3 linked regions of the Oryctolagus cuniculus genome follow. The protein of the gene in region 1 interacts with the protein of each later gene in a pairwise test. Links are inferred from orthologs where the notes say so. Each region holds a gene or a part of one and is shown in the gene's direction. Other genes may lie near its edges. The genes, in order: GFER, COPS5 and BNIPL.

What was found.
Region 2: the proteins of GFER (region 1) and COPS5 interact in a two-hybrid assay, tested with the Homo sapiens proteins (2 studies listed by BioGRID). The link is inferred for Oryctolagus cuniculus from reciprocal best matches to the Homo sapiens genes GFER and COPS5.
Region 3: the proteins of GFER (region 1) and BNIPL interact in a two-hybrid assay, tested with the Homo sapiens proteins (2 studies listed by BioGRID and IntAct). The link is inferred for Oryctolagus cuniculus from reciprocal best matches to the Homo sapiens genes GFER and BNIPL.

The regions. Positions count from the first base shown.
Region 1 is NC_091450.1:33,243,286-33,247,437, reverse strand, and holds GFER (FAD-linked sulfhydryl oxidase ALR), read left to right. Parts: upstream 1-1,377; coding exon 1,378-1,635; intron 1,636-1,795; exon of another isoform or gene 1,796-1,818; coding exon 1,819-2,015; intron 2,016-2,905; coding exon 2,906-3,068; 3' UTR 3,069-3,562; downstream 3,563-4,152.
Region 2 is NC_091437.1:92,671,990-92,674,345, reverse strand, and holds part of COPS5 (COP9 signalosome complex subunit 5), read left to right. Parts: intron 1-1,675; coding exon 1,676-1,824; intron 1,825-2,356. UniProt on the Homo sapiens protein: Probable protease subunit of the COP9 signalosome complex (CSN), a complex involved in various cellular and developmental processes.
Region 3 is NC_091438.1:47,051,747-47,055,396, reverse strand, and holds part of BNIPL (bcl-2/adenovirus E1B 19 kDa-interacting protein 2-like protein), read left to right. Parts: intron 1-1,907; coding exon 1,908-2,090; intron 2,091-2,243; coding exon 2,244-2,346; intron 2,347-2,504; coding exon 2,505-2,636; intron 2,637-3,480; exon of another isoform or gene 3,481-3,616; intron 3,617-3,650. UniProt on the Homo sapiens protein: May be a bridge molecule between BCL2 and ARHGAP1/CDC42 in promoting cell death.

The DNA.
Region 1 (4,152 bases):
GTTCCTGGTGCCGTGTCAAGGTTGCCCCCCACCCCCCCAGGCCTCCAGGAAGCTGCCCTGCCTCAACAAAGATCCTTTGTGTGTCTGTCCCACCGGTTGCTCTCTAAAGCTGTCTGACCTTGCCGGTGCCAGCCCAGGCAGCCGAGGGGGCCCCAGGAGAGAAGCTGGAGGGAGGCCAGGTTTAATCAGATGGGGCTGGGAAGGATCCGGAGGCCCCCTGCGCCCACGCTGGCTCCACCCAGCTTCCGCTCTCTGGACCCCTACTCTGTTCCCTCACAGTTCAACTCCAGCCGTCACCCACCCCCATCCCTGGGGGGTTTGCTGGCCCCTGTGAAAGCCACTCTCCACGTCACCGCCAGGGGTAGCTTCACAAAACAGACATGGGATCAGGTCAGGGAGGCTGTGCCGGCCCCTGAAGGGCACCCCTAGTCCCCACCCCGCCCCCGTTCTGTGCTGTCCATGTCCCCCGGCCCTGGGCTCCCAGACCCTCCCTCTCTGCCTGCGGTCACCCGGCCCTGCGTGGGCCCTACCACTGCTTGTAGGAACACTGACAGGTGTGGCTTTGGTTTGTCACTGTGCTGAACACCGCACGGAGTGACGGTCAGGGGCACTTTTGCTTCTTGTCCGGCCCGGTGCCGGGAACAGAGCGCGGCCCGGACATCCACGGAAGGACCGCGGGGAGGCGGGCGCCCCGTTGCCAGGGCGCCGGTCGCCGGGGAGGGACCGCGGCCCCGGGGTCCCAGGGAACGCTCTGTGCGGTCACGCCGGCCCCGCGCCGCACGCGCCGTTGCCAAGGCCCCGGGGGGCCAGCCTCGGGCGCGCCCCCCGCTGCGGGCACAGAGCCCGGCCGCGGGCACGCAGGAAGGTGCCAGCGGAGCGATGGGGGCGTCGCGGGCCGCCACCCGCACTGCGACCCAGCCTCAGCCCGAGTCCGCCGCGCGGCCGCGGCGCACCTTCCACAACACGCTGCTCTTCTACTGGAGGAAGCGCGAGCGCCGCCACGGACGGCGCCCGGCGAGCGCGGCGGGCCGGGGGGCGAGGCCCAGGGGCACCCGCAGCGCCCGGGCCTCCGGCGCCGCCCCCGCGCCGGCCCGGGCCCCCGGCCCGGCCCCCGCCGAGGCCCGGCCCTCCAGCCCCGCCGCGGCCAGCGCCCCGGCCTCCGGCCCCGCCCCGCCCCGGGCCCGGACCCCGGCCGCCGGCCCCGCCTCCGCGCCGGGCCCCGCCCCGGACCCCGGCCCGGCCCCGCCCCCCGCGCCCGCGGCGCGCGCCCCCGGCTCCTGCGGCCGCGCGCTGGCGGCGGCGCGCGCGCTGGCCTGGAGGCCGACCTGGAGGCCCCTCTGGCGGCCGAGCTGGCCCGGCAGGCGCTGCGCGGGCAAGATGGCGGCGCCCGGGGAGCCGGGGCGCTCGTACCGCGGGAGCCTCTTCTCCTTCCTGCCGGGCGGCGCGCGCCCCGAGGTGATGGACGACCTGGCGACGGACGCGCGGGGCCGGGGCGCGGGGCGGAGGGACGCCGCGGGCACTGCCGCCGCAGGCCAGCCGCCGGCCCCGGCCCCGCAGCGCGCCGAGGACGCCGCGCAGAGGCGGCCCTGCCGGGCCTGCGTGGACTTCAAGGCGTGGATGCGAACGCAGCAGAAGGTGCCGGCGCCCGCCCGACCTCCCCGCCCTTGGCTTCCGCGCGCCTCGGCCGCCCCGCTCAGCCGCGCGCGGGCCGGAAGCGCCGCAGGACCTGTGTGCAGAGCTGGGGCGGAGGAAGGGGGTGGCCGGTGGGCCTCCGTGTCGGGGAGCGCTAACTGACCCTTAGTCGGCCTACTTCTGCAGCGGGACACGAAGCTTAGAGAGGATTGTCCACAGGACCGCGAGGAGCTGGGCCGCCACAGCTGGGCGCTGCTGCACACCCTGGCCGCCTACTACCCGGACCTGCCCACCCCGGAGCAGCAGCAGGACATGGCCCAGTTCATCCATTTGTTCTCCAAGTTTTATCCGTGTGAGGAGTGTGCGGAAGACATCAGAAAGAGGTGAGCCGCGCTCGCCCGTGGAGCCGGGGCCCGCACTGCCTGCTGATGTCACAGAGCGGGGCAGAGACCATGGCCGCCCGGGCTCTGCGGCTCGCCCCGGAGGGCCGGCTGCCCTTTGCCCTAGGACTGGGGGCAGGCTAGGGAGAGCTGCACTTTGCCCGACTGTCGATGCTGATTGCTCTTTTTATTATTTGAAACAAACAAACAGAGAGAGACAGGTCTTCCATTTGCTGGTTCACTCTTCATGGCTTCAGCTGCCCGCGCTGGGCCAAGCTGGAGCCAGGAACTTCATCCCAGCCTCCCATGGGGGTGCAGGGGCCCGGGCACTTGGGTCGTTCTCCGCTGCTGTTCCCAGGGAGCTGGAGCAGAAGTGGAGCGCCCAGGACTGGGCCAGCGCCCACGTGGGATGCTGGCGTTGCAGGCCGTGGCTTAGGCCTTGCGCCCTGCCGGCCCCCGATTGCTGGTTTGAAAGCCTGGGAACCCACTGCTTTTCCTCACTGAGATGCCCGGGAGCTGTGTTAGGCATCTCCGGGCCGGACGTGTGGGGGCAGCCACGACAGTTAGAACCAGGCAGCCCTGGCTTGACTGGTTCACCAAGGCCTCCCTGGGGTGCTAAGGAGCGGTCCGCTCTGTGCCGGCTCCGCCCCGGCTGCACCTGCCTGGGGCCAGGGGCACAGGTGAGTGTTCCTGATTTCACGAGACTGTAAAGTGGCTGCCTCGTGCCCCGGTGCCTTGCCCTGGGCTCTGCAGGGTCCACCCTGGGGAACGCCCATCTCCGGACGCAGGAGGACGCCCCCCGGTGCCGCTGGCTGCAGTGCCTCTCTCTCCTCCCGCGGCGAGGCGCCGGCAGGGCCGGGGCCACCTCCCCCTTTTGTGTCGCCCCTACTCAGGATCCACAGGAACCAGCCGGACACCCGCACCCGCGCGTGCCTCAGCCAGTGGCTGTGCCGCCTGCACAACGAGGTGAACCGCAAGCTGGGCAAGCCCGAGTTTGACTGCTCACAAGTGGACGAGCGCTGGCGCGACGGCTGGAGGGACGGCTCCTGCGACTAGAGGGGCGGCCGCGGCAGAGGGGCGGGCCGCTCATTAAAGTGCGTCAGAGCCACAGCTGTCGCGTCTTCGTTGGGTGGTCCCAGGACACTGCCCTTCCGAAAGGAAGCTGCCCCCTGCGGGCACTCCAGCAGCCGGCCTCCTCTTCAGCGGGGGGCCTGGGCAGGGGTGTGCAGGGGAGGGAGGCAGGAAGGAGCGTCTCGTCGTCCAGGATGGCAGCCCGCGAGAGGCCGGGGCTCCCTCTTCCTGCCCCGTGAGGCCCGGCTGTGCCTCTCCCTGAGCAGTGCCGTGGCCCCAGTGGCTCTGTGCCGTTGCCACTTGGGGAGTGAGGCCTGGGCCTGAGTACTCCGTTGGGCCCAGCCCCATGGGGAAGTCTGGGGCGGAGTTTTTCCTGAGGTCGCCCAGCGTGCTGCCACGCCCCGCCTGGCACGGGCCCTCTGAAGGTGTGCCAGGACGGTGCCGGGCTCAGAGACCAGAATAAAGTGCTGGACAAGAGACTTGGACCTGGTTCTGGTGTGCTTTGTGCTCAGCTCTGCCCTCCTGTCTGGGGTCTGACCCCGCAGGGGCATGGAGAGGATGCCCGTGCAGGCGGCCACCGTGTTGCCGTGGCCTGGGTGTTCCAGTAGACAGGGAGGCCGATGGCTGCAGCGGAAGGGTCCGCTCTAACGGGGAGGGAGCGGGGCGTGCAGGGTTCAAGACCCCAGCAGATGTGGCTTTCACTCCCGGCTTCGGCAACAGGCAGCCAAGGTCTGGAGCCAAGGAGTGGCGTGGAGCGATGTGACCCAGGTGGCTGAGGTGGCCCCCAGCAGCACGCAAGGAACATAGACATGCTTATTTATTTAGCGTTTAATGATTTGTTTATTTGAAATGCAGAGTTACAGAGGAAGAGACAGAAATCTTCCATCCACTGGTTCACTTTCCAGGTGGCTGTAACAGCTGGGGGCTAGACCAGGCTGAAGCCAGGAACCTGGAGCTCCATCCGGGTCTCCCACACGGATGCAGGGCCCAAGCACTTGGGCCATCGTCTGCTGCTTTCCCAGGCCATTAGCAGGGAGTTAGACGCAGAGCAGCCAGGACTCGAACCGGC
Region 2 (2,356 bases), on another chromosome or scaffold:
AGAGGCAAGTATACTAATAGCAACCAGAAGTGAGAGCTGATGCAAGGGGAGAAAACACTGTGTAAGACCAGAGCAGTCTGAACCTTTGTATAAAGGCAAGCAGATCTACCTACTCAGCCACACGGCTGTCCCTGTATTCCAGCACTGCATATATGAGGACATTAATAATCAAGAAAAGGTTAAATTACATTTTCTCCCTTTCTGTGATTTTATATACTCATATAGGACACTGCTGCATTTTAAGAAAACATGTAAATTATGTTCACTTTCTCTTTCTCCAACTAAAGCAGTTAATTATAGCATAAAACCTAAAAGCTACCAGAGAAAAATTTTTTTAAGAAATTAGTTTCCTGTATTAATTTTCTGGGCATTTGAAATGTGATTGGGTATATTTTACTGTCAGTTTACTAGTATAACCATTTCTGCTAGCTTACATTTTTATGGGCTCTGTAGCTAATCTTCTGAATGTGGAAAAGTCTGTAAACCTTAGGCTTTTCTCCAAGTCTGTGGGATAAATGTTGATTTCCTAAACCATTTAGATTCATTTAGGCAAAGTAAATATAATTGCATCATTTTAAAATCACCCTAACTTTGAACAATCATTAGGAGATCTGGTAGCATTTTAAAGGGCCTTCTGTGGTAACTTTGATGATAGCTATAACATTTTGTGTTTGATAGTTAAACTGTATTTCTTGTAAGCTGTCTTTCAAACTGAGCAACTAAAATAGCATGCTGATTTTCGCCAAATGGCTTATTTATCCTCATTCTCTTCTACAAAAGATTAAGAAAAGAAATGTAATATATGCTTTACAACTTTGTAGGTTTTCTTTATATTTTAGACTAAAACTAAAAATGGATATCTTATAACAATCTCTTTAAAGATATTACAGTAATGTAGACATATAACTTTTTTCTTTTTAAAAAGTATGTCATATTATAAAAATACAATATATAATATTCTAGTTTCCCAGATATAGAATGCATATGAGTGAGGTGAAGGGCTTATAGCTATGTCTATTTTCTTTATATTGTTCTACATTTTCCAAATTTTCTGTAATTTATTAAATTATTTTCTGTAATAATTTATTAAGCAAAACCAAAGGTTATTTTTAAAAATATTATCCTAAGTACAAATTATAAAAGAATAGTAACAAAACTAGCTAACAATTATTAAGCATTTAGTGGGTGCCATGGACCAGCCTAAGAGCTTTCACACATTATTTCATTAATTTTTCACAATAGCCTTAACATAGAAATTGCTCCCTTTTCCCATTTTCTGAAGAGGACCTGCAGGCATGTCCCAAGCCTCCCAACTAATCTGCAGCAGGTTAGGAGCTGGACTTGATATGTGTAGGCCAAGGCCTCTTGTAATAATAATCACCATTAGACCTAGAGTCGAAGAGAAAAATTCCAAATTTAATCTTGAAATTAAAAAGAGAACACATCTACATTGAACCACTTGACAAGTTGAAAAAGTTGCAAGATTTTGCACGTGTAATTTGACTTCTTACTTCAATAATCATCCACTCAGATCTTATAGGAGGATTCTTTGTAAATGAAATGTTCTTTATAGAAGAAAATTAATTTACATTAAAATATATATGTGTGTATGTATATTTTTTTTATGTTTTTAATGGTAGACTTGTGTACTAATACAATATCATCTTCTCCACAGAATGCAGACTATACCACTGGTCAGGTCTTTGATTTGTCTGAAAAGTTAGAGCAGTCAGAAGCCCAGCTGGGACGAGGAAGTTTCATGTTGGGTTTAGAAACACATGACCGAAAATCAGAGGACAAACTTGCCAAAGCCACAAGAGACAGGTAAGAATAAGAATAAGAATAAGAAAAAGATTCTTTTTACTTTCAATTCTCAAATAATAGTAGGAACCAAATTCCTTACAGTTCAAATTAGTCAGAATAATATCTGAACATTAAACTTCTTGGGACCTTTAAAAGTTGTCAAATGCAGATTTTAACTCTGAAAATTTAGGAGTCATTAGGTCAGAACATTAAAGGCTTAAATCAAAGATGTAGGCAGTGACATGGAATACTCCCAGTCATCTCTTCTAGTTCAGCTACAAAGTCAAAGAAAGAAACTAATCTTCCTTTAGGTCTTCAAATTAAAAAAAAATAAATAAAAGCAAGCCTTTGCCAAAAGAATCTCTTGGTTTATTGTCATATAAGCATCTGTAGAATTAAATTAAGAGATGTTGAAACTTAACAAATTTCAGGGTTTTTTTCATAAAGTCTTAAATCCCAAGATATCATAGGAGTGAATGTATCTCTCTTAAATTATGCTTCTGAAATTGTCCTTTATACTGTAATTTGGTACTCTAGATTTTAGTAAGGAATT
Region 3 (3,650 bases), on another chromosome or scaffold:
GTGCAGTGGTCTAGTCACGGAGGCCCTTGCTGCTACACTAAGGAATTTAGATTTTATCTTGTAAGCAATGAGGAGTCTCAGAAAGATTTTAATCATGGAATTAACATGATCAAGTTTAATGACTGAAAAGACTAGAAATGGCCAAAATATCCGTGAGTAAAATAATGTTTACTACAGGGCATTAACACTATGGAATTATTTTTAAAGATTTATTTATTTACTTGAGAGGCAGAGTCAGAGAGAGAGAAGAGAGAGAGATGTGTCTTCCATCCACTGGGTCACTCCCCAAATGGCTGCAATGGCTGGAGAGCTGGGCCAATCCAAAGCCAGGAGCCAGGATCTTCTTCTGGCACAGCTGCCAGTATTTCTATATACTCAAATTTCTGAAAATGTCTCACTGGATCTAAGGAGTAGACATATTCAAAACTTTGCCCATAAGCCTCTAAGGAGGATACACCAATTAAGAACCCCACACAGGCCGGCGCCGCGGCTCACTAGGCTAATCCTCCACCTAGCGGCGCCGGCACACCGGGTTCTAGTCCCGGTCGGGGCGCCGGATTCTGTCCCGGTTGCCCCTCTTCCAGGCCAGCTCTCTGCTGTGGCCAGGGAGTGCAGTGGAGGATGGCCCAGGTGCTTGGGCCCTGCACCCCATGGGAGACCAGGAAAAGCACCTGGCTCCTGGCTCCTGCCATCGGATCAGCGCAGCGCACCGGCCGCGGCGGCCATTGGAGGGTGAACCAACGGCAAAGGAAGACCTTTCTCTCTGTCTCTCTCTCTCACTGTCCACTCTGCCTGTCAAAAAAAAAAGAAGTAGAAAAAAGAGAACTTGCTCTGTGGTCTTTAGAGTAGATTGAAGGAAAAGAGACCAGAGGCAGGGAGAGCAGGTAGGAGGCTAGTACCAAGCACAAGTGAGCCAGAACAGTGATAGTGGCAAAGCTAATAAAGGGGCGTAATGAAGGTGGATGGAAGAGGATGTGGGGTCCAGCTGGTTTGAGGGCAGACAGAGAAGAAGGAATGTCAGAACAGTGTTCTCTCACACCCGGCTAGATGGATGGGATTGTTCGTCAAGAAAGGAAACAAGGGAGGGGCTGGCATTGGGGCGCAGTGGGTTAAGCTGCTGGCCACCCATACGGGCAACCTGTTTGAATCCTGACTGCTCCACTGCTTATCCAGCTCCTGCTAATGCACCTGGAAAAGCAGCAGAAGTGCTTAGGCCCTTGCAGCCATGTGGGAGACCTGGATGGAGCTCCTGGCTCCTGGCTTTGGTTTGGCACAGCCCTGGCCGTCATGGCCATTTGGGGAGTGAACCATCAGATGGAAGATCTATCTCTCGGTCTCTCCTTCTCTCTCCCTGTAACTCTGCCTTTCAAATAAATAAATAAATCTTAAAGCAAAAGAGAGAGAGAGAGAAAGGAAACGAGGGAGAGGAAGAAGAGGATGATTTTGGATCTGGGACCTGACAGGGACACATAAAGGAGGGAAGTGCACTCCAGGCAGTCAGAGATATGAATCTGGAGTTAGGAGAGAAGTTTGGGTTAGAGAGGCAGATCCGGGAGTCCTCAGCTTTCTGACAGTAACTGAACCCGGGGACTAGATATGCTCGCCCAGGGGAAAGCGTGTACAGAAACTGAATCCAGAAAAAGAAAAAGCCAGGTGCTGGTGAGAGCCACGGACCTGCCGTGGTGCAGGGACCCTGAGGCCATTGTCTAGTGAAAAGGAGAGGATCAGGAGGCGCAGGAGAGAACCTAGGAGGATGGTGGTAGTGGGGTGAGTGGACAAACTGAGGTTAAAGGGACGGAAACAACTGAGGGCCAGGCGATTCAGTAACAGACTCCAGGCATCTGGGAACTTGACAAGATACTGAAGGTGAGAATCATCCTGCTGATCCCTCTACATCGCTCTTTCAGATGAGCTGCCCCGGGCAGAGGGTCTGGCGGCCAGTGAGGCTGCGGAAAGGCTGGGCCGGGGTTGCGTGTGGGACGTGGCTGGAGAAGACGGGCATCGCTGGAGGGTGTTCCGAACAGGACAGCGGGAGCAGCGAGTGGACATGACTGCCATTGAGCCCTACAAGAAAGTCCTGTCTCATGGAGGTAATGGCTAGTGTAGACGGAGGGGTAAAAACAGTGACTTCTGGAATAAACAGACCAAGCTGGAGACTCGGTCATTGGGTTCAAAACTCCTTCCTGTAACCTGTACAGCCCCTCAGAGGTACTGTCTTGCCAACACATACTTCTCTTCACCAGGTTACCATGGTGATGGACTCAATGCTGTCATACTCTTTGCTTCCTGTTATCTACCCAGAGGCAGCATTCCCAACTATGCCTATGTCATGGAACACTTGTTTAGGTGAGGTGGAAGGCCTGAGGGGCTACAGAGGGTATTATGGGAGGAAAAGAAAAAAAAGTCCCCTTCCAACATCTGTACTGATTTCGGAGTCTGCAGTAATAGTCCTCGTGCTCCCTGTGACCCACAACACAGGGCTCCCCTGTAATTCTGTCCCCCAGGTATATGGTGGGGACCCTGGAGCTGCTGGTGGCTGAAAACTACCTGCTGGTTCACTTGAGCGGCGGCACAAGCAGGGCCCAGGTTCCACCTCTGGGCTGGATACGCCAGTGTTACCGCACTCTGGATCGGCGGTGAGACCCCAGGATGAGGGCGCCGCAGTTCTCTGTCTTTCTTCTTCTCCATCTTCTCATTCTTTCTTCTTTTTAGCTGCTTCCTCATTCCTTTGTCCCTCTCCACCCCTTTCCAAGCCCCGCCTGTCCTCACGTGGAGTTAAGGAGATCAGGTTTCAAATCTCACCTTTACCATTTACCAGCTGCATGATGGGTGCAAGCCACTTTACTTTTTGGGCCTCAGTTTCCTTATCTGCAAATAGCAACAGTCGTCTCTTTGCCGTTGGGCACTTGTGAAAGTGGAGTTAACGCGGAGGCACATTCTGGCATGTGGAAGGCAGTCTGCCTCCTCTCCCATCTTGCCCTGTATTTCATTTCCACAGCTGCACTGTCTTCTTCGCCTTCCTCTTTTTAAATAATGCTACTTAATTTAAGGACAACACTTGACTTAATAAGGACCTTCTTTAGCTTTTCTTTCTTTCTTTCCTTTTTTTTTTTTTTTTTGTTGTTGTTGTTGTTGACAGGCAGAGTTAGACAGTGAGAGAGAGACAGAGAGAAAGGTCTTCCTTTTTCCGTTGGTTCACCCTCCAATGGCCGCTGCAGCCGGCGGACCGCGCTGATCCGAAGCCAGGAGCCAGGTGCTTCTCCTGGTCTCCCATGGGGTGCAGGGCCCAAGCACTTGGGCCATCCTCCACTGCCTTCCCGGGCCACAGCAGAGAGCTGGCCTGGAAGAGGGGCAACCGGGACAGAATCTGGCGCCCCAACCGGGATTAGAACCCAGGGTGCCAGTGCCACAGGTGGAGGATTAGCCTAGTGAGCTGTGGGGCCGGCCAAGTTTTCATTTTTTTTTAAGATTTATTTATTCAGCACTATATTTAAACCTACCGATGAGAATTTTCCTTATTCTTGGTTACGCTGTAGTGCAAAAGAATTCCTGGCTCTGTCAGTTGCATAGCTGACTTGTGCCATTCTGCTGTTGCTTAATGGAGTTAAGAACGTTGGGAAAAAGAAAGATTTATTTATTTATCTGAAAGG